2 linked regions of the Neodiprion lecontei genome follow. The protein of the gene in region 2 interacts with the protein of the main gene of each other region in a pairwise test. Links are inferred from orthologs where the notes say so. Each region holds a gene or a part of one and is shown on either strand. Other genes may lie near its edges.

The links. The genes of interacting proteins can lie anywhere in the genome.
Region 1: the proteins of E3 ubiquitin-protein ligase SIAH1 (region 2) and radial spoke head protein 3 homolog A interact in a two-hybrid assay, tested with the Drosophila melanogaster proteins (2 studies listed by BioGRID). The link is inferred for Neodiprion lecontei from reciprocal best matches to the Drosophila melanogaster genes sina and Rsph3.

The regions. Positions count from the first base shown.
Region 1 is NC_060260.1:28,041,429-28,053,832, reverse strand, and holds radial spoke head protein 3 homolog A, read left to right. Parts: upstream 1-3,936; 5' UTR 3,937-4,075; intron 4,076-5,183; exon of another isoform or gene 5,184-5,198; 5' UTR 5,199-5,204; coding exon 5,205-5,950; intron 5,951-6,033; coding exon 6,034-6,105; intron 6,106-6,453; coding exon 6,454-6,535; intron 6,536-6,597; coding exon 6,598-6,771; intron 6,772-6,923; coding exon 6,924-7,052; intron 7,053-7,250; coding exon 7,251-7,454; intron 7,455-7,663; coding exon 7,664-7,826; intron 7,827-7,890; coding exon 7,891-7,977; intron 7,978-8,070; coding exon 8,071-8,255; 3' UTR 8,256-8,287; intron 8,288-8,740; 3' UTR 8,741-8,949; downstream 8,950-12,404.
Region 2 is NC_060264.1:36,318,163-36,329,076, reverse strand, and holds E3 ubiquitin-protein ligase SIAH1, read right to left. Parts: upstream 6,871-10,914; 5' UTR 6,343-6,870; exon of another isoform or gene 5,602-6,342; 5' UTR 5,369-5,601; coding exon 5,140-5,368; intron 4,989-5,139; coding exon 4,749-4,988; intron 4,598-4,748; coding exon 4,405-4,597; intron 3,619-4,404; coding exon 3,441-3,618; 3' UTR 3,401-3,440; downstream 1-3,400. Other genes in the region: F-BAR domain only protein 2, read right to left, coding at 10,869-10,914. UniProt on the Drosophila melanogaster protein: E3 ubiquitin-protein ligase that is required for specification of R7 photoreceptor cell fate in the eye by mediating the ubiquitination and subsequent proteasomal degradation of Tramtrack (ttk).

The DNA.
Region 1 (12,404 bases), on a different chromosome or scaffold from region 2:
CTGGAATGTTCTTGTTTTTTCGCACGAAAAGATAATAAATTTTATATGAAATCATTGCGCAATATAGAGATTCCCCAAAATGTGTGCTACAGTTTTTCTCTTACTGGCCGAGTAACATTGATGTTTTAAAATATAACCCTGCTGCTTAAATAAAAAAATTAAATAGTAGAATTTCCTTGGCAATCAAATACCGAGATCACAATTTACCAGAACATATAGTCAGACCTTGCAATTTCACTAAGAAAATATCAAGTATATGTGATTTTTGCAATTGCTGATATGAAAATACCGACACTGTTTTGTCGATAAGGAAAGCCATGCACCAGACACGGTTACTAATCTCTGCATAAGGTCACATCCAGCGACATTGGAACCAACTTTGCCTCGCTACCAACAGTTGTTTGATGATCGTAACGCGGTACTGTTACTCCGCCGGTAACATTGCTAGCAATGCAACGGTGCGTACAACTACTCACTGTAGCGGTACGCTATCTACCCCATAAATGCAAATCTGTCATATTTCTAGCCAACATTCTTTTACGCGTACGCAGTTTTAATCTTTGACCAGGGAAGGTTGATTAGGTATGATTTGAAAAATATTGAAACTTTGAACTTCGTCCAATTGAATGGAACTTAATTAAACTCCACTTCACCAGGTCCAAAGTAGATGTTCCTTTAGCTCTGTCTATTCCTTTCACGAATATAAAAACTTTGCCAAACTAAGTCATTCGACAGTAATTATTATTCACAAATTTTTGCTACCCTCTGTAACGTGCAACGCTAGAATTGATCGGACGCTAGACAAGGCAAACGCCGATATTCGCTCCGACAAATCACCGAGTAATGTATAGGTAGTAAAAATATCGACACACCGGTGGTAAACTCAGTTGTTTTGTTTCTATAGCAACTCTCATCGAAATTCACGGATAAATGGGAGAAAATCCGCCCTATGGAATAGTGCGAGAATTTTCTTGGGTTATCTCAACCTGGGGATACAGCACATTGCTTTATTTTTTCTACTTAAACTCATCGCCTGACTTGGTATTCTGCGATAAAGAAGAAAGAAAGAAGCAAAAAAGAAAGCTCACAAAGTAATCGGTGGACAATCAACCGCAAACAGTGTTCGCCGCGAAACGCGATGTGAAGTGCCAAATCTTTATTCCCCTTGTCAAAAAGTCTCGACAAGTTTACACGAACGAGTGTCCGTGCGTTTGATAAACTCTAAATTCTAAAGAAAACGTAAAATAAAGGAAGAAAAAAAGAAGTAAAAAAAATAAAAAAATCTAAAAATGGCAACAAGGACGAGTCAAGTGAGCCAATGCGAAATGTGCAACAAGGGGATGAAGGCGTACAACATCCCCGAGGCTGGACCACGGGGGAAGAAAGAGACGTACTCCTTCGTCAAAAGTCCCCGGGCAATTTTGCACATACAGAAGAAGTATCGCAATCCACCAATGTAAGAATGTCTCCTTCTGGAATCTATTCGCTTGCACGGACAACCGAGCCCGAGTGTCCTGCAACGAGTGGACTAAAGGTCAGAGGAAGAGTGCTGGAGATCAAGGACGAGGACGAGACGAACGAACCTAACGGTTGTGCCTCCTTGTAACAATTTCCCGTTTTTCGTCGTGCGCCATAATAATTAATACGTACGTCAGTCGTTAGTTTATCTGATGCCCAGCACTCTTGAATATCCGACTCACGCAGCTCCCATTGATCCGACTAGATGCATAGCCAAGTCACCGCCAACCTTACGCCCTCGAAATTGAGCACACTTTTCCTCGACTGAAATTTTTATCGAAACTACTGCCGGTGCAGTAGAGTTTACATATTTACGATTTAAGGGCCTCATGATTGTATCAGTAATACGTCAGCCGTCGCAGGCTACGGCGCAACCCATCAATCCGATCAGCGCCGTGCCTAGCCCTTGGAGTACTTGGGGTAGGCTGAGGGAAACCGCTTTTTTCAATACGAATATACGTATGTATGGGAAATTCCATGTGAATCCAATTAACGTCTGACCCTCAACATTTTTGATTTCGTTCAAAATTTTTTCAGCCATTGTCCCAACTCTAATTTCCCAAAAACTGTATTTTCTAGTCCAAATATTTCAAGACCGGACCTACGGTGCTTCGATTTTTTTTCTATTTCGTTCCGTGCCAAATGTGCAGGATGAGATACTCAAGTTGTACGTGGCGCATATGTGTACGCGCTAATATTGGTTGCCATACATTTAAAATTTTCATTTCTATACCACTTTCTGCTATGTCGGTTACATCGTAACCATGACAAATACGCAAGGAAAACCGCTCTCAAGATTATTATAGATACCAAGTTTTTTGATTTTTTGAACAACAAAAAAAAGCATTCACTGCACGGCTCTTCTGGCGGCTGCTTCTTTGCCCCAGCCCTAGGCACGGCACTGAATTCGATGATACATTTCATCAATATGAACATTAGGAATGATCCCTTTGCGCTACAAGTTCACGAAATGCTTCATGTACTTACAAATTACTTTGAAAAACTGAAAAGTATATTAGCTATGATCAGCCCGTTTGCTTGTTAATAGTTTAACAAATTATTGGCAGACGGTCTACAAATGAGGATTCGCAGAGTGGTGCTGAATTATTCAAAGTCGCCGCAAACATAATCCTGCCTTCGTATATCAGGCATTTTCATCACACATTAAAACATTCGACATCGTGATACTAAGAGAGTACATTCAACCCTGCAAAAACATAATTTCATCGGGTGCTGGAAAATTACTGGCATCGATAATGCGTGGTACATATACTATGAGTTTGCCCGGTAGCACCAGGCAACCATATTATACACGTACGCCACTAACCGTTCCATTTCTGCGGCTGACACGAATGACCCCTAATGCCCGCTGACCGGACCTGGTCCGTGTTGTTGGTATTACGAATTTGTAAAGCTCAAACTGTGGAAGATGTTTGCGATTCAGCAAGCTAGTGACGCAGACCTCCAAAGCATTCGATCATCTCTCTGTTGTATAATTGAATGAGATAAAATCCAAGACCACGTATAACCATTGCCGTACGGTATTACAAAGATTTATTTCCAATGTGCATGAATCTCTTTGATAACGACTAAGTTGTATAAGCTTATATTTGAGAACGCTTGTAGTGTCAAAAACGAAATGAATACATTTTCGAACATATTGAGAACAGATTTGAGGAAATGAGGTTTGTTAACTGCCTAGTAGAAATTTAACGCAGTGTTTAAAAACCCTGTTCAGACATGGCAACGCGTTGTTCAGACTGTTGTATACTTTCACAATTCCTCCTACGATTACCGTCAGAATTCGTTCCGTTTTAGGCAAGTTCAAACACCTCTCGTGCAGATGATTATCACCGACTTTACGACGGAAAGAAGCCAGTAAACCGTCGAAAACCGTGACCAATATAATCATGGTGTTTCTTACCATGAGACTTCACATTCGTCGATTAGGCGATTATATCATATCGGTCAAATATAATTATAAAAATATCTGTACCCTTTATACGCGTTATACCTGTGGAATGCCAATTAATCAAAAATGTTATAAGACCATACAATCATTTTGACAATGAAAGTAAAACGTTCATAATGTGTACCTCGAGTGAAACTTCTGCGAATGTTTGGCTAACGGCGATACGTGCGATTTCGTTCGCGTTTAAAGAATTCCTCGAATATAAAATAGGGGTTAAATCGAGAGGGCAAGGATCTTCTCCTCGGCTATACTATTTAAAGCCAGCAATCGGACGATCTGACTTCACCTTGACGCGTTGACCGCTTTGGTCGAAATCGAACTCTTCTCCCCTATTCTTTAACTTCCCCCTTGACCGCCTCTGCGTGACGATATCCGTATACGATCCTTACACGTGTGCGAAGAGACATGCGCAACTGGCCAATGGTCACCGCTATTGAGTTGCTAGCCGGCCGGTAACACGCCGGTAGAAAACGGTAAGGGTACAATGTCCAGTGTGTGAACTCACCCCCGAGAGTGTTTGGCCTGCAGCGGTGGTGCAGTCGTCGAGGAAGTTTTTCGCGACTAGATCCACCGATCTCCTAAAAAGTACGTATCTGTCTAACGGAGAGTCTGACGTATATTCTTTGTCTCGAGTAATTGGCAACGTAACTAGCAAAATTCTGCCAGGGTGACTAGGATCTCTTCGGTATGAGTCTGTATTGACTTTTCCGTCATAGCCAACAGCTTCAATCTCACACAAATCCATCCCGTTTCATCTCATCATGTTTTTTATCTCTGTCAATTACACGTCAGATATTTTTCACGTCGTTCAATGTTAATCGCGGCACGACTAAGTCCCAACGAATTGATAATAATACGCAACGATGCACTCACAAAACAGTCATTGGGCATATGCCGTAGTTGGATTCATTTTTCTCTGAACAAACCTCGCCGTCCTGCGTGGTCACCGACGGACATGCCTCATAAATATTAACGCCGACGCGTCACGTAGGCTAATTTGCAACACTAGCTATTCCGTTTAACACTTGGGATAGGCAAAAAATCGATCATCTGATTGGAGCTCTGAGTTCGATCGGGCTTGAATTAGAACAGTGTTTTCCCCGCAGAGAAAATAGAAAGCGGCCTTCGTTTAAAAAATTTGTTCACGAATAAAAAATTTCGCCATTTCACTCACAAAATCCTAACACCGCCGTTACAGAATTTTATATCGTAACTTTTTCCGCTTTGACATAAGTACGTCAGTGTCTGCCAAAAAAAATTATTTTTTTTCAAACGTGCACCAAAATTTCGGCAGAGTATCTCAAATAGAATATCTCAGCCGAATATGAGGTCTTAATATTGATATTGAGAGGTGCCTATTTTATTTTTTCCATTTTCCATTTAAATAACACGTAAAAGAAATGGGAAAACTCTTTCGGAATACTAGACAGAAACATTGGTAAAAATGATGCTAATAGGAACTCGCAATTTCGCTGAAAGTTCAGCAATACAGAGTTCCATTATTGATTTTGAATTAATTTCGAATCGACGTTAACAGGATAACCTCACCGCGAAACGACAATAAGAATCTTGATTCACTCACTGAAAGACAAAACAAACAAGATATAGAAACCGCCTTAATGGTAGCGTGAGAATTTTTTCACGCTGCCGGTATTCAATCGTCGGAGAAAAATATGCAACGCGAATAGCGTAGGATTAATTGTTTAAGGTCGCTATGCCAGCTGGCATTTCGGCGTTGGCACCCTCAAATCCGGAGACCTTCAACCTCGGCGACAAAGAACTACCAGCGTTTACCATCCTCCAGAAGGATGGCCTCGACTCTTCGCTACCTTTGCTACACGCCGAAGACGACATGGATTTCGAAATGTCGAATAAAATTATTTCTCAAAATTTGTACAACCAGAAACAGTTTAGCAGATCGAACGATCACCTGCTACTGGCGAGCCTCCAGAACCAGCAATCAAATCCGCTGAAAGCCAAGCACAGTAAAAGCCAGGGGAATCTCAATAGAGATAAGCCGGAAGTTAAAGCTCCAATGATTCTGTCGACCGAAGATTTCACCGAAGTCTTGAACGCCAAGCTACGAAAGGTACGAGAAGAAGAAGATCACGGTAAATCGAGAAAACTTTACACCGGTAACAACAATAATTTCGTATCGAGAAAGCCTTTCATCACAACGGTGAAAACCGGTGAATTCCTGATGCCGCCACCGGAAGTAGCTTCTCTCCTTGGCATAGCTGTGAACAGCAGCTCTAACAGCGGGGACGATCCAAGTCCAAGGTCAAAGTTCCGGCCGTTGAACTTGCTGACAAAAAAGCCGGAAATCAGACACCAAAGTCATCACTCGAGGTGCCAAGCCGCCCTGAAGGCTACCACGGATTTCTCAATGGCTTTGGTGAACTCGGCAGCGCCGGCGTCGGAGCCGAATAGGTGGAAGAGGAGCGCGCCACCGACGCAAACGTAAGTCAGGATGGAAAGAAATCTGAAAAACTGCTTCGCATTTCGATGATTCGGTAAGAGAGGGCTTGTGTCCTGTTTTCTAGCGAACAAGCACCAATGCCTAGAGCGTTACCGAAAAAATTGGAACCGATCCCGAGCACCATTCTGCCGAACCGGTAATAGATCATTGCACAGGAGCGAGTATACTTTTCAGTTTGCTAAACCGAGTGACGATTAGATCATAGTGATTGCAGATTGCGCCGAATCGCAGTTAGGCCAAGCGGCTGAATAATTTCACGGTTTCAATCACGAGTTCAAGTTATATGTGTATCGCATAAGTGCCTGTTCCAACTATCATGCTTACATACTGCATACATTCCGCTGCACCTACGCAAGCGAGCTTTGCCAGGTGAAATAGAACATGGGATAGAGTTGAAACGGCACTGTAGACACCGTATCCGCAGCGTCATTGGCAGTGCAAAAATCGATCCCTTTCCTTTTGTTTCTTAATTTTCAAATTGCAGTGATCAACCGGTTCCCTTCGGGAACATTATGTTCGATCGTCGCGTCGTTCGCGGGAGTACTTTCGCCTCAACTCCGATGCCTGTAAGTATCAACGTGTGGGAAATCCAACGGTTCCATGTTTCCCAACTCCGGGATGATTTCAGGTGGACAGTGAACAATCGCAGGCCGCGCTTCAAGCGGAAGCCAGGCGTCGACAACTCGCGAGAAGACGGGCACAGACTCAGGCGAGTCGAGCGTTGCACTTACGGATCGGTTCTCCACCGCCGGTTTCCGGTAGGAAACACGAACCGGTGCAGACGGAAACCTACCTCGAAGAGGTTCGCCTCATTCGTTTCGTTTATAGTATAAAGTCAGTTTCCATTCTTTCTCCTGGAATTTCAACTTGACCTTCTGCTTCGTTCGATAACACATCAACGAGTCAGTGATTCGAGGATATTCTGCAGCTAAATGTTTCACCGGTTAATTTCAGCTATTTGAAAAACCGGACGAATTCGACATCGGCACGCAGACCGATCACTTCCTCGATCGGCCACCAACGCCTCTCTATTGTCCGGCGAAAGTTGGAACGGATCAGTGTACTCAGATATACCCTGGTGACGTGAGTACATCTACATGAGAAGCTTATTCGGAAGCTATCCATCTTCCATCCGGCTTTCGTATACTGGGTTCGAATTGAAAATCCGACGTACATTGTCAAAGAGGCGAAAAATAATTCACCATTTGTCGAATGGTCAACTTGTAGCATTTTCGTAAAGACACAGTTAGAGTAGTCGATTAAATGATACGAATTTTTCAGTTATTCGACTACGATGTCGAGGTGCAGCCTATCATTGAGGTACTGGTTGGGAAGACCATCGAACAATCGCTCATCGAGGTTCTCGAAGAGGAAGAAGTTGCGACCTTGCGGGAGCAGCAACGGAAATTCCTGGAGTTGCGGGAGGCAGAAAAGGCAGAAGCACAGCGTCTCGAGGAACAAGAGAGACGATTACGCGAAGAGAAAGTAAGCGCGATTGAAGAAATTTATCATCGAAACGGCCCTGAGATCAGTCTGATTTACTTTTCCCATTAACATCAACTATTCACATCATTGTTGACCTTGCCGTGTACGGTGAGACCGAAACTCGACACACGTACACGTGTATCAAGGTATACGTATAATTCTCTTGTAATGGCTTACTTCACCGATCGATTCTTCTGCCAAAAATGTAGTGCCGACGTCTGAAGCAACACGAGGAAGCGGTAAATACCCAGTTGGAGACAGAAGAGCGGGTAGCTGCGGCAGTTCTTCTAACCGGATACATCGCAGAACTTTTACCGGCAGTTCTGGAGGGATTAAAGATGTCAGGGTTCCTGCTGGATGAAATCAAAGCAGGTAAAACTGGAGCAACGAACCGACAACAAGGCCGATAAACGTTATCGTGTTTGACCCTTTTCAGACGTCGAGGAGGGCTTCATGCCGTGGCTGATGAAGGAGGTGAAAAAAGAGATGGGCAACATGATCGAGAGCCGAGAGTTGCTGATGGGTAAAAGCAATTTTTTTCACATCTAATTGATCCCCCGATCACGAGCGGTGTTTTACGAAAGTGTGATAATTGTCGAACATCGACGAACCGCAGATATCATCAGAGAGATACTGGAGAATCGTGCTGAGACGTATCGTCGCCTGGGCGAAGATTACGACGCCTCAAGAGACCAGCTCGACCTTGAGGAACAGGACGAGGGTGAAGGCGAGGGCGACACTCGGGACGTGGACTTCGTCGATTACGAGCCCCCAGCCCTGGACGATGTCAATCCAGCTTAGCAGTCGTGCTACAACGTTCTATGTTCGTCCAAGTAAGTCTGGCCACCCACTTTCGAGCTGGCACAGAGCGCAAAACGGGACCTGACCAGCAATTCGGTGCACTGACCGAGACGCCAGGTCGATGCCTATATTCAATAGAATCAGTAATTAATCGAGCAAAGATCAGCCGCGACCACTTTGACTGGCTCATGCCTAGTCCCTCTCACTATGCAGAGTAAGCCATAAGCTTAGCCATATACGAGCCGAGCACGATGGTGTACACAGCTGCACGAGTCGAGGTTTTCTCCCTGGTCCTACGCAGGGGGCGTTCGATGTACCAACGAGCGGGGAACTGGCAAGTCCCCCCGGTGTCAAATATTGGTATTTGTCCACGCAAATGAAATACCTATCAGATAGTGATTATTGATTTTTGAATTCGGACGACAGATACCGATTTTTACTAAAGTTCCATTTTTCAAAGGTGTTTCTTTCTATTTCTCGTACAGATGGCCCTTTCTAACGCTGAAAAAATGGGATCAAGTAACATCGCGAGATTGAAGATCGCACGATACGTAGTGCCTGATAATACGTAATACCTAGTTATTATGAATAACTGTATTCAAATTTTAACCGCAAATGACTTGCTATTTACTCTTAGTTAAGCACTATACGATCGATGCATGTCGAAAAAAGAGAATAAATATTGCTCATACAATTCGACCTACTCGTTATTCTACTTCCCTTCTTGTGCCTAGAAATTGAACTGTGTTTCAATTATTTCATCATTTTTCATACTTTTATAATAACGGTGAGCTTTAAAACCCTGACTTATTTCGCTCGTTTGGGGACACTATGAGCAAAGAACGCGTTAGCGGTTGTGCCTTTTTAAAACTATACAGAATTATGTTAAATTATATGCGTATAATTTTATAGAATTTCACCAGGTCAAACTTGAGTTAGAATTTTATATAAATTTTACCAGGTATACCCTTTTTCACGAATATTCTTTATCAATGCAGTGTTACAACTCATTACGAAGATAATACCGAGAATTGTAAGTTCGGCCCGGCATAAACAAATACGTTCCGAGTGCACTAGTACCGTTTTTGCACCAAGCGATTTGGACTTGTTAGTAATTAGCTAAAATGACGAGCACATAGATGGCGCAGTCGAACTTTGATTGTCGTGAACCATCCTTTCCCCAAAGAAGAGCAGTTTTGAGTATACGAAACCATGCCTGGCTCAGATTTGTCAAATTTATTACTTATACCCTTTTTGCACCAACCTCCGCATTTGATAAAGTTGTGTTTAATTGGAAAACATTTTGCCGTAAATTCGAAATTAATTTCGTGATGTCTGTAAAATATCAATCCATGAACGAAATAAATCTGAATCAAACAAACAATATGACGTTGTTGTTAAATAACGAGCTTTCGATGATGGTAGTAATAATAACAATTAGTCAGGTAAGGAAACATCTGACAACTGTGGCAACTATATTACTGCTTACATAGGCATCCTTGTAAAAACTATATTTTTTTTAACTTTTAGGGGAGCGGCGAGCAAAATGGGCACCCCTGAAAAATTTTCATATCTTTTTATAAACAAGTTTTTAACGCTTTTGAAGCAAATTTAGAAAAGTACGCATAATTTTTAAACGGCCCATTTTACCCGCTTTTTCTCTACAAGTCTCTTATACATAGCTAATCTTATTTTCAAGGTATTATAAAGAAGATAGAAAAATAAATTTGGAACATTTTTCAATTTTGAAAACTGTATGTAATATTTTAGGGTGTCCATTTTGCCCGTCCATCCCTATAAAACTTGTAGTACTGACGGTTACATACCAACTGCGACTTCTGTATTTACGCTGTCGATTCTATACTTATTGTTAGTCGTTCAAAAATTCCGAGTCCAGGCTTGAACGCAGGTTCGCGTAAAATTATACAGGTTTGGAGCTAATTTGCGTTAAGAATTTCAAGTGCGTGAAGTGAAAAACACAATGAGGCTGCCTGGTGTTGATTTCTAAGTCGACAAGGCCGCAGGGGTGTTCTTAATGTGAAAAATAATGCCATGGTACTTCCACCAATATTGGTACAGGTCAACGCAATTAATCAGTAAACGTCAGGCCAGGAATCGTCCAGTTTGCTGAGCCAGAACCAGCCCCCTGACACTCACCACTGCTCGTATACTAAAATATTGTACGCGTCTTGTCCCCGTTTTTTAGTTCCTCTACGTGGCGCTAGTAGACTTCTGACAAGCTCGCTGCCCTCGCTGACCGCGCGCAAGCTCGTCAGGTAACTGCTAGCGCCACTAGTGGTGGAAATTGGCGGCAGAATCGAGGGACATTTAGCGAACCACTTTTAGCAGCATGTGTCAGGGGGCTGGCCAGAACTTAAAATGAAAAACTGGCGATGAACATTGGTGGCTGACTACGGTCAGATCAATGTCTGACAAACACGGGTAAGTATAAACCCGGACTTCCCCAATCGCAGAGACAAATCGGTAGCCAGCTGAACGAGCAAATCTGTTACCGGCAAAGCAGGAAACGTAAAACCCGGAAATTAATTTATCATCCATATAAATATAACATACATACAGTGTACAGGCGAAGGTAAAATTTACCACGTGTTCGATCACGAATCCAGCAAAACTTATCCATCCCCATCATCAAAAGTAATGCGAAAATTCAAACAGGTAAAAACGCGGTCACGTCGATGGCGACGGAAACGACGTCATAACGGAAGTGAAGACTTTGACAGCATTATCGAATCCGGAGCGTAAAATGAATGTACAAACCTTAAATCCTGGGCAACTTAATGACAGGAAGGGATATAGTCAACTCTATTCAACAGGTGTATTTATTTTTAAAAAAACGTCGATTGACTGCGGGTGCTGTGCCTTAATTGGCACTGGTCACAGGAGTATTTAGTTCAACGAATAATTAAACTAGCTGAACGGTTGAAATGCCATGGGTCCTAATGACGCGCTAATGAGTCATAAAATAAATACTGCAAGCTTAGTTCGTTATTTTAGTAATTGGTTATAGGAACTACATCTTGCGAACTAATAAACATAGATAAGGCGTGACCGCGCACCCTTGTTCCGACGATAATCTTTTGGCTTGTACTCCATAATAATCGCTTGATCTAGGGACACTTTTGTCATTACGCCACGCACCAATGCCCTGCGCCTACTCAAGTGCTCGATACTCGCTGGTATACCTGCATCAACGAGCAAGAACCTTCGTCGTACACTTCTTTAACCTTACGTACGCAGTAGTAATTTTGAGCGAGGACTTTCTGCTTTTGTCGAGTGATAAAATGTCGTATAATCTTCGCAAATTTTGAAGGAACTTTGAAACAAATATGATAAAGTAGTTCCATCAATGCGCGCAAGTGATTTATCCTGAAATCAACTTTTTATATCACACAAACTTTGGTCTCTCAAAAAATACAGAAATTAGTCCACCGGTATAACTCTGAAGTAAAATGTTTTGTTTATCCAGTTTCAACAGAATTCACATATTTCGTTGAATTTTAAGAAAACTCTAACGATATATGTGGAAAAAGATCACGAATAAACAAATTACGCATATGACAGTTGTCACTTACGTTTTATTCCATCATACCACGATGAATGACGAGGGTTCCGGGACTAATTGGATGAATAACAAGATGAATGAAAGTGATAAAATACCGTTACTACAGACAACATACAAACGCTATTGGGCTAATATGAGCATCATTAACGGTACAGCATTCATTGTTGGTGCCTTATCTCCGAAATGTACTCCACGAGTTCTGGGTAGGTCAGGCCGTGGATTTAGCCGGAGATCGATCACGCAAAACCTACCATGCATAGTAGGTACTGGTGCAGTAAGTAGGCGAGTACGTATTAGGATGTATATGAAGTCGGGCCATCGACTTAGACGGTCAAATTAGTTATGTCTAGGAAACCTTTACAGGGGTCTATGAGGAGTGCTTGTAACGAGTCGCGACATCACCGGTCACCGTGGATATCGCGTCCCTTTGATCTACGCAAGCCGTTTTCAGGTAGGTATACGAGGTATTTTCCTGGTTGTAGTCAGGTCCGAATTAACCGTAAGACTAAAAAGGCCCTGGGCCCTCGAAATTTTCAAAATCAAATTTTTCAAAATAGTACCTAGAT
Region 2 (10,914 bases):
ATAAATACAGTATGATTCAATCGCATTTCCGAATATAGCTAGAAATACTGATAAAAAATTACACAACTTTCGAAACGAATTTTTATTTTCTTTAAACAGGTATTTCATAAAAGAAAGGAGTGCAAAGGCATTGAAAGTACGCAAAAACACCATGATGAAATGAAAAACAAAAGTGACTTGCCAGCTGATGTCTCTTCTGATGTAGGACATTCAATTTTGTACCAAAGTGACATTATCAACAAGAAAATTGAAACGAATAATGACAATTTAATGTGGAACTGAAATTACTCAATTTGAGGGCAAGTTTGGTCCTCAGCTTTTTTGTTTTTTTTCTGCTTTCAGTCCAAAACTGTGATAATTGGCTGAAGATTATTCTTCGGCGAACACTGTGAGTATGTCTCAGACACAAAATCAATGATTAAAACATTAATTACATCATCTTAAAGTTACTAATTCTGAATCTTAAGCTTATTAACATTACTCTAAATACTAATCAGAAATTTTATCATCAGTGATGTATTTTGAATCGTTCAGTTACTTTTTTATACCCGACATATGACAGTTTGATTAAATATTAGTAGAAAAATTCAAGTGCGAATATTGTGTACACTAACAAATGTAAAACTGAATGAGCGACTCCAATGTGCAGATGAACAGTAGTAAGTTGTCCTGGGATACAGAAACTATTTAACAATAAATACAAAATATGAACACGGACTTGTTCTGAAATTTGAATTATTTAATCAAAATGTGTTCATATTCAGAGTCGCAGACAGGGTACCATGATTAACGGTAAAAGTGAAAATGTAGAAAATAATAAGTTTTAGTTCGGGTTCAATCTACAGGATGAAGATGAAAAAATCCCTGATGAAACGATTGGTAAGCCAATAATAAAATAAACAACATTGGGCGAACATATGTCGTATACACGTAAGAACCGGCACTTACTTTTGCTCATTTTTCGGACCTGGATGCTGCAAAGTAGCTCCATTTAATGGACAGGTAGAAGCAGGTGGAGTTGCTATAGAAAAGATATATACTGAATTGGTGTGCTAATAGTGATAGTGGAGCTATCCCATAGTGGATAATGTAAGGGTATAGAGTAATCCTGAGTAACTCAAGTGACTGACTTCACCTCATGTTTTCTGTGTACAAATATACTGCCCACTGATAGATGTAGGCATACCCAATATTTCATAATTTGCGATCTTGATTTCTTTAGTGATCTCTGGGCCTCAAAAAAGAATCAGTTGCTGTTCGAGAAATGGGGTATTTGTTCTTTGGTCTGTAAAATTTCAATAAATTTATTTTGACAACATGATAACGAAGTTTTTCAGAGTTGCGTGGATCATCGAAAAATTCACCTCAGATATAACGTAAGGCTTGAATTGATTTCTCATGTATTTCAAATGAATGAGCTTGTGTTTTGCGCGAGCGCAGCCTGACTGGGAATTGACAACACCGAGCTTGCTCAATAGTAAGCGTGGGATTTGCACTTTCATGTGCATTGAAGGTACGCTGCTGGGTGTTGACCGAAGTCCATAAAGCCTTGAGTTCTATAATTGTATACTAATCTGTATGCGCTCATTTTATTAGATTTTATATGTATACATGTGATATTGCATGTAGGTATATGTAATAGGGTGGCCCTTAGAAGATGGGCTTCGCTGAATTTTAAGTGAACCATTGCCGAACAAAAATCGGTATTAATATGCAACTTCATATTTCAAATACAAATGATGTCTATAAGATCGTTTTGTTGTTCATTCGAATAACATCAATTTTCTGGGATTCACAAATTATGACTGTACACCATGTATAGTCAACATTTAAAAAATCCGAAATCCATATGAATTAAAGTTCATCAATCCTCGACGTGATATTTCATATAGCTACAAAACATTTAACTTGAAATATCGCATCAGAAGTACCTAAAATTTTCATGAACCTGTTCCGACAATGTACTTTAGAAGTGCATAAAAATCAATGGCATTTATCTGATAGGCACCATTTGCTATTGAGGTACAGAGCCCGGATTTTTATTTATTCATTTCGAGCCGTTTTTCGAAGGTTCGAAACCATTTTGAAAGGCCATCCTAACATGTATGCACGAGAACGAGAAAAAAAGTTATACATAATCATGTCACTCTTAGATTGTGTTGAACTTATCCTAGATCTTAATAAATATATGAATATGATGCATATGCGCAAAGTCTTGACGATTTCCATTTTTCTTAAAGCATTTCATTTAGTGTCTCCAATATCATTAAATTTAAAATATTAATGATTCTGAGAAGTCTAAAAATACTTTTTCCAACTTCCAACTGATGAGTTGAAGAGATTCACGTACAAATTTTTTAAATTATTCGCTGCAATCAGTGCTACTACAATAACTAAAATCGGCCAAAATAAAATACTGACCCTCAATAGCTGTTTATATAACTGAATACTTGGTCTGACGAAATAAAATAAAACTTCTGTGTGCAATAAAGACATTACTCTGGAATTGTCAATTTCGTCCCAATCCTACTGCCTGGTTTACATAGGTGGATTTAGTAGTAGAGTAAGAAGGTATAGTTTGTACTTTGTCATTACTGCATCTTGGGGTAGTGCAACTAGGGTACTGAACATAGCAGCGGGCAAAGTAGAGTGAATAGCACGTGTGAAGTAGTAGGTTATTGCGATAGTACAGAGTAGAGACCCTACAAAACAGAGTCAGGTCATTGCCTCCGCCTTGGCCGCCATTTTTTGATAAACCGAAATTGTGGGAAGATTTAAACACATAAGTAGGTAGAAACGTTGATTTTGTATAATAAACATATTGCAATATTAGCTTGTAATATGTTTGTTTATTAATATTAACGTTTCTACCTACTTATATGTGTTTAAAACTTCGCGCAATTTCGATTCATCAGAAAATGAGGACCAAGATAGAGAAGATTGGCCGGACTCTGTTTCGTAGGGACTCTGGCGCTCAGTAGCTGGGTCCGAAACATGCGAATCTACAGAATGTGTTATTATTTGGCAACTGTTGCGATTGTCAACTCTTCTCTACTGAATTACTGGCTCTGTGTGGACAGTAACTATACCTAAATTAGCAGAATTATTTATAGAAAAAGTATGTTTGTGTACTCACTATTAAATCTACTAATGTAAACCAGTTTTACCAGGTAATCGGCATTGTAACTACTAGCGAATAGTTAGAAATTAATTGCGAACCTAATGTTGGGCAAATTACATCTGCTATCTTGTATACAGTGATTGCGCTAACGATGGAAAAATGCTCTACCTTTGTTCCAAGTATATCAAGGCGGTAGGAACGGGAAGTCATGTAAGGTGACCTTATCGAATGTAGACATTTCCACTGTATATGTGATGCCATAAACGATTTTCACTGTCCAGCATTGTTCATTTGCTTGCTATCTGATCATTTGTTTATTTCAGGCCATAGAAATGGTCACGTTGATCCCAAGGTTTCCATTATCGGCAAATAATTGTGCCATCGACGTATCAAACACTAAGCAGTCGGAATTAAGAATAGCAGAAGATACACCTTCGTGGATAGATCTTGGCATAGCTTCCCACGTAAGCCGTCGTCTATGACCATTCAATTCCAATCTGAAATATCGAGAAAGAAAAAACCAGACTCAGATGCCATTATAACTTTCACAGCCAAACTTTAAACTCACAGGTCTTATCTTGTCTTCATTATTCTATACTGTGTATATAATCATATATTCATAAATATGCATGAAAATATAAACAGCGTTTAGTATAGATTGTATATGTATATTCAATCCATCTACGATGGAAGTCCGCGGACTTGATCCTGACTATAAAGCTGGTTATAAGTATATTATTTATAGAGAGCCATGTACTATAACTATAATGATGTAACATAATATTAACTCTATGATATCCCTGACATAAATTATAATAATGCAGGCTCTATCTGATATTTAGATTAATCTTTAAAAGTTAAGGAAAAATGGCTACGTCATGGAATAGGACTCCGTTGTGCTAAAATATTTCCCCATAAGCAATAAATAATCCAGACGATATTTTACGTATGGTAAATGACAAAAAGTGCAAAATAAATTCCAATTCACTCTTAGGAATATCGGAATAGGAATAAAATAATTAAATTAAAAAATTCAAATCAGACAAATCATTTTTCTTGAATATTTTTTCGAGTCCTCGATTTTTCCGACGAATATATCTCACGTCAATAAATCAATGATGAATATTTTGAAAAATTGATATGTTGAAATTAATTCATTCACGTATGTAATTGACAGTTCGATAAAAATCAAGTGCCTCCTACTTTTTATTCCAGTACCTGCCTGTTGTGACCTCAGTGGCAAATAATAAATAGTCACGAGATTATAAAAAAATAATATCTACCTGTACGCGAAGTTTTCAGCTTGTTTCCTTGAACCAATTAGTTGAACAATGGCAAAGAATTGCTGATGTCCATCATACTTTTCTTGTTTCTCCAAGACAAGCATAAAGTGATGACCAAAACATGACTGCATCATAACCCAATCTACTGCTCCAGAAAGATTGATATCCGTTGCTAAAAATACGATGTCTTCACCTAGAAGAGAATAGGATTGCTGCAGAATATGTTTCCAAATTACAGCACATCACCAATTACAGTAAGAAAAAATCCCTGTCTTTCCTAGTGATTAGTCTGTTGCATCGATTATTAGAAATAGTTGTAAGCTAGACTAATATTTGCAGATTACCTTGAAGGGTGGTAATACTCTTATGGCTCATAACAAGGTGAGGCATGACTTGTTCGAGAGATCCCTGCCACTTGCAAGAAGCACCGGGGCAAGGGCAACTGTAGGGTCGAAACTCACAAGCATCCTCATGATCAGCTTTCTCCGTGTGGACAAGAGATACAGTACAACCGCTTGTCGAATACTTGCAGGGGAACATTACATTGCTCGCTACTTTCTCCATTGCCAGGTTCCTGATGTTACCTGTTTGGTTGTTTGTTTTTTTTTTTTTTTAAATTCAAGGTAAACTGGACGAGAAGATAACATCATCGGTACCCATCACAGTCAAACATAGGTAGATACTATAAAAGTATAAGTAACTGGGACAAAGTTGGTGAATAATGTATGTACCAACCTAGGGGACCCCGACAAGTGGGACAACAGTTGAGCTTGGGGCGACAGTTGCTGCATACTAGATGACCGCTCTGGCATTGCAGTATAGGTGGCAAGACATAGTCAAAGCACACGGGGCATTCGAAGAGGCTGGCTAGATCCGCAGAACTGCTCAATGCAGAGGCTGCCGATGCTGAGGTGCCCGGTACTCCACGGCCTCGCTTTCCCGAACTTATATTCAATTGTGACATTATGTCGAGCGGATTGCAGACTGTAACGGGACGCTTCCTTCCTAGGTCACTGGTCTTATCTAAGTCTAATTTTTTGTGTGAAAGAACGTCCCCAGTTTCGTTTTATACCTGACCGGCTGTCCCCGATATCTGAGGTATACCTGGTGGGTTGGTTTATCTCGTTAACTCATTAACGATTTCATTACAAATTTTCCGCACCAGTGAGGTTCCACAAGAAAAGGATGCAAGGCGGCCTGTCACAACGTTCCGGTATTATTCATTGGATATTCTTATTTTGGTATTGGTTTTGGTATAGGTCTTGCTTACAGTAGTAATGATAAGATTAAAAAAAGGCACTTGAACGAATATTATCGTTGGACGCAAACAAGCCCGAGTCTTCCGACATGGAAACTAACCCCTTCTTTCTGTGGTACGGATAGTGTCAACGTTTACGGACACTCGATAATAAAAAAATAAACCGAATCGACGGGAAAGCTACATCGCGACGTAGCGAGATCGAGGCGCGTCGACGGTTTGCTCTGCGGTGGTGGTGCTGTGTACGGGCGGTGGCAACGGCAACGGAAGCTGCGAAGACAATGACAGCGACAACGGCGACGGCAACGACGACGGCGATGATGATGATGATACTGATGATGATGATGATGATGATGATGATGGTGATGATGATGAAGATGATGGCGATGGCGATGACGATGACGACGACGAGGATAACGAAACTGACAGTAATATTGACACTGACAAGGAGGGCAAAGACGTCGGGGGTGTCAACGGCATCGTGGCGTCGGACGATTGCCGGCGAGGGCGCGGACTTGGATCTACGGAGGACGTGATCAAACTCAGGCTCTGATCTAGTAGATAGACTGAAGACTGACGAGCGACGACAGGCGATAGGCAGTGGCGACTGGCGACGTTTACAAGGGGCCTCTACCTACTACATGCACGCCGTACGCGTACGGCGTGTTATCTAGTCTTACTTTGTCACTTCTCCACTTCAGCGCATGCCAGTACGTATGTATGTACGTACATGCATACACACCATGCGTACATTGTATAGTTAGTAGCCAGTACTTATATCTTCATTATGATTCACAACAGACGATGCGCGAACGTTATCCGTCGTATCTCTGGACACTTCATGCTGATAAAATGTCTATTGGCTGATTGTCTTTCTTTTTTTCAAGTACTGCAAAAATTACCACTGCACTAGCGACAACTTCTGCTTATACCTGCTTTCGATGCATGTACGCAGTCAAGCACGTATAGGCAAATACATGCACGCCTACACATTTACCAACGTTTGCAATACGTGCACTACACGACTTACATATTTCACCACACTAGACCAGAAAAAAAAATAGATATGTTAGGCCTCGTCCGATTATCACATCACATGGATTCTTTTTCTTCCTCTTCCAATCGGCTGTCTCCTTCCATCACACAATTCAATTACTGGCACAGCACCTTTCAATGCTGTCGGTAATCTTTTGCGTTTGCGCTAACGAATTAACGACTAGCCCTGCCTGTGTTCTAGGGAGTTTTTATGACTAGCAGTTTGGAGTGTATAGAAGGAGGGCACTCTCTAATGTATGGCGCGTCAGAATGTGGTCAAATTCTGTAGGCAAGTAAGGGAACATAGAATAACCGACGTGGCGCCGATTATTACAAAGTTGAATGTTGAAGTTAGTTACACTTAAACTTATGATATTTGAAACTAACTTCAGATGGTTCAGATCAGCAACTTACGTTTTCACAGCACCACTCTTATTTGTACCCATAATCAGCTCACTTTTTATAACCCTTAAGATATCCCCCCCTACTATACACTCCACAGCTAGCAGCCTGGCAGCTGATTTCAGGCGACAAACTTATTTCAGACTCATTTTTCAAGACGTTCAAGATTTCAGGGTCTGGGGATTTTTGAAACTGGACCCTAGATATCGCATGCGACATTTGGGGTCCTTGTTCAGAGAATCTAACTCGGAACCATGTTCAGAATGTTCAAACCACGTTCAGAAGGGACTGTTCACCGCACTCACAATGAGTTATCGGATTTTTCGAAGTGTCGTTTGATTTGTTCCACTGAGAATTTTTTTTTTCTACCCCCTCGGATGAGAGCATGGATATTTTAACAAGCCCTCCACCTGATAAGCCAAAGATTTTTGCACGATATTTGTTTCGGTTCCGATTATGCCACTTCATATGATTATTAATTTCATTATTTGTATAGTAATTTATTATGTGATTATTTTATCGAATTTACAAGATTAATCATGTAATGAATTAAATGCTGATTTTTTTCAAAACATTTTATAATTTGACGCGAAAGGCCTCTCAGTTCCGGTGTCTTCACGGTCTTGGAATATTCTTGAGGAATAGATTCTGATAAAAGCACAAAATCAATCAACATTGACGAAATTTTACATCGTGTGAATTGTGAAATATGCGTGCGTCACTAATGTCGATTAAAATCTGAGCCTAGACATCTTTTATCAAAAAAAAGTAGGAGTGCATTTCTCCATGCAATCCCAAACAAATAGACACCAAAACATCTGTGAAACGTCTGAAAACTCTGATTACCATGACTCCGAGCTGAATTCTCCAATCATGGAAAATCGTCGATTGTAACAATTTCGTAGTAACTCATTACCGCGTTCTCATGCCCTTTTTTTAAAATATAAGTTGCCTAGGCTTAGAATTTAATCGACCTAAGCGACGCACCAACATTTCACGATTCACACGCCATGAAATTTTGTCGATTTCGATTGATTTTATGAGATTCTATTCCTCACGGAACATCCAAGGCCGCAAAGGAAACGATTAGGATGCATAGTTTTCGTAATATTGGAAAAAAATTCTGGGGAACAGTAATTTTTTTGAAGCCTGGCGAACTTCGGTACAGGAGTCCCCTACCGCTACCGACTCAATTAACTTTGGCGTGGAGGTAAATGTAGGGCATGGCAGTTACCGCCGCCCAGTCGTGCTCCTTTCCATGCTTGAAAAGAATAATACCCATGGCTGGCTGCTTTGGCAATTTTCAGTCGACGCTGAACCACAAGAGCACCTAAAGAGGCATCACTGATACCTGACACCGATTATGATCTAAAAACTGCGTCGATAAGTTGAGGGCACTACACTTAACTTCGATTCTTCCGTGCTGTAAACGTAAAATTATTATTTCTCCTATCACGGATCCGCATTTATATCAGTAAAAAATATGTAATTCGATCGACTAACAGAAGATCGATCAAGAATTTCGCTTCACTAAAGTCCCACGTGGGTAAGAACTTTGGCAAGAATTAAGATAGTTGAATGTATGTACGCACGTACATACCTGAGAGCATTATATGCGGACAACTGTAAGCGGAGGTTTTATACATGTATATTTAACCGATTTTCAAAGAACTAATATAAATTTGAAATACGAAGCTTAACAGGTTGTCCAGCAACCGGGTAATTTAGGTTCAGGACCAATCCTCAATTTTTAAAAAGTCAAAAACCGTGCAGAACAAAGAGCCAACTAATTGTAAGTTTCTTTACAATGAACTTGACACATTTGAGTGTAAGAAATCTACATATCCTACTATTAATGCGGTAGATTCGTAATAGCAAATTCAATGTGTAAAAAATTAATCTTCAAATTCGACAAGTGTGCCGTGATGACATCTGCAAATATTCTTAAGGATGTGCCTTGGTCGTTTTCCACGTTGACGTATATATCTCGAAATAACGATATCTACGTATCTTGTAGGCGAAAAGGGCTTAACAGTTCCATTCTATACAAAATTCTGAATAAAAACACTGCAATGTATTTTCATTCGACGCAGAAATAAATAAATGTATACTGAAACGCATATTGTTTTATCCTTCATTACTTTTGGCGTGTATACCTTATTCGAAATCTTAATATGGATACTAAATTTTTTCGGCCAAACAAGTTTCTCTTTTTGCGTTCGTTAAATCAATTTACAAAAATTTAGGTCAATTAAAAATGGCGACATTTCGAGATTGTTGGGTTTGAGACGAAATGATTTATATTTTTCTTTTTCATTTTCTTAAAGATAATTCTATTACACTGGAGCTGTGTTTCAGGATAATTAATACGGTAACGAAAATTTTGCCGAAATAAATTTCTTCATTTTTCCTGCTGACAATTTCAGTATTTCCAGACAGTTTGCCACCATACTTACGTAATATTGGACCTTTTACGACCAACAACGTTAAAAAATTTTATGCGAAGGTGGGTGCGAGAAGACATGAAAATTAAATGATATTTCCAAAATCGAATTTGGCCGAATTTATTACGCACAGTTGGAATAATAAAAATTTTACGTTGAACCGTTTGATCGAGATCAGTACGCGTTCAATTCAGATTTCGTTTCAAAGTCGGAGGTTCTTCACTTTTACGAAATGTCTGAAGATTGCTTCGATTTTTCTCTGCGGAATATAAGTTCCTGAAATTTCCCAAAATTCTAAATTATTGGTGACCCTGCGAAATGAAACTACTAATTACAAGTTTTAATATTATTGAATTGATGTACATACATACGTATGTACGTATGTATAGCATATGTAAACACGTATTATACGTAGTCAATTATTTACAATATTGAAATCATGTAGTTGATATCGCAATTATTTCCAGATTACGTTAAATCAATACGCAACTATGCGAGGCACGAACTGATACTTGCTTTGAGTCTAACAAACTCGTGTATAAAGGGTATTATAGGGAGTCTACATAAATATTTGCTCGAGAAATGATTTACACGAACCCCGCATATCATCATTCTGGCTAAATTATTGCAGTATGATGATAATTCTAGAATCCTACCAATCCATACATAAAATTTCCATAAAGTGAGAATGATTAACTTGGAAGGATTGGTTACGAGTGATAGAGCGCAATGAATAAACAATGGCAAAGGTAGTCGAGATAATCGAATTATAACATTGTCCACGATGATGAAGATAATGATGATGATAATGACGACGACGATGATAATAACAACAACAAGAACAGTAATGATGTTAATAGTAATAATAACAATAATTAATAATATTAATGACAATTTAAAAAAATACCATAATAAACGTAGTGATGGATGATAAGGTGATCTACTTCGAGCGCGTGTGTGTTGTGTGTAGAGAGTAAAAAATATGTCAAGTCGATTCTATTCCGTTTGCAAATCATCCTAATTACAGTTTATAGACACGACTGAATTTAATGTACTTACTGGACACCAAAGAGAGTTCTACTGACAAAATATACTGGAACTGTAATATTTTAGCAGATAAACTTTTATGACAAATATAAGGTAAACTTGGATTGCAAGTGAAGCTGTATGCGCAAAACTCTTATATTTGTTTCTTTGGTATCCAGGATACATATTCAGGTTATAGCGGCCCAAGACAGTGAGGATGAGAAGGGGGCAGGCGGGGGGGTGGAAGAAGGAACTGATTCCTCTTCTCGATGATGCCGCATTTCTCGATGTACCAGGCATCAGTTTATTGTGGACGGCGGCGCCGCATAACGAGGTCTTAGATCC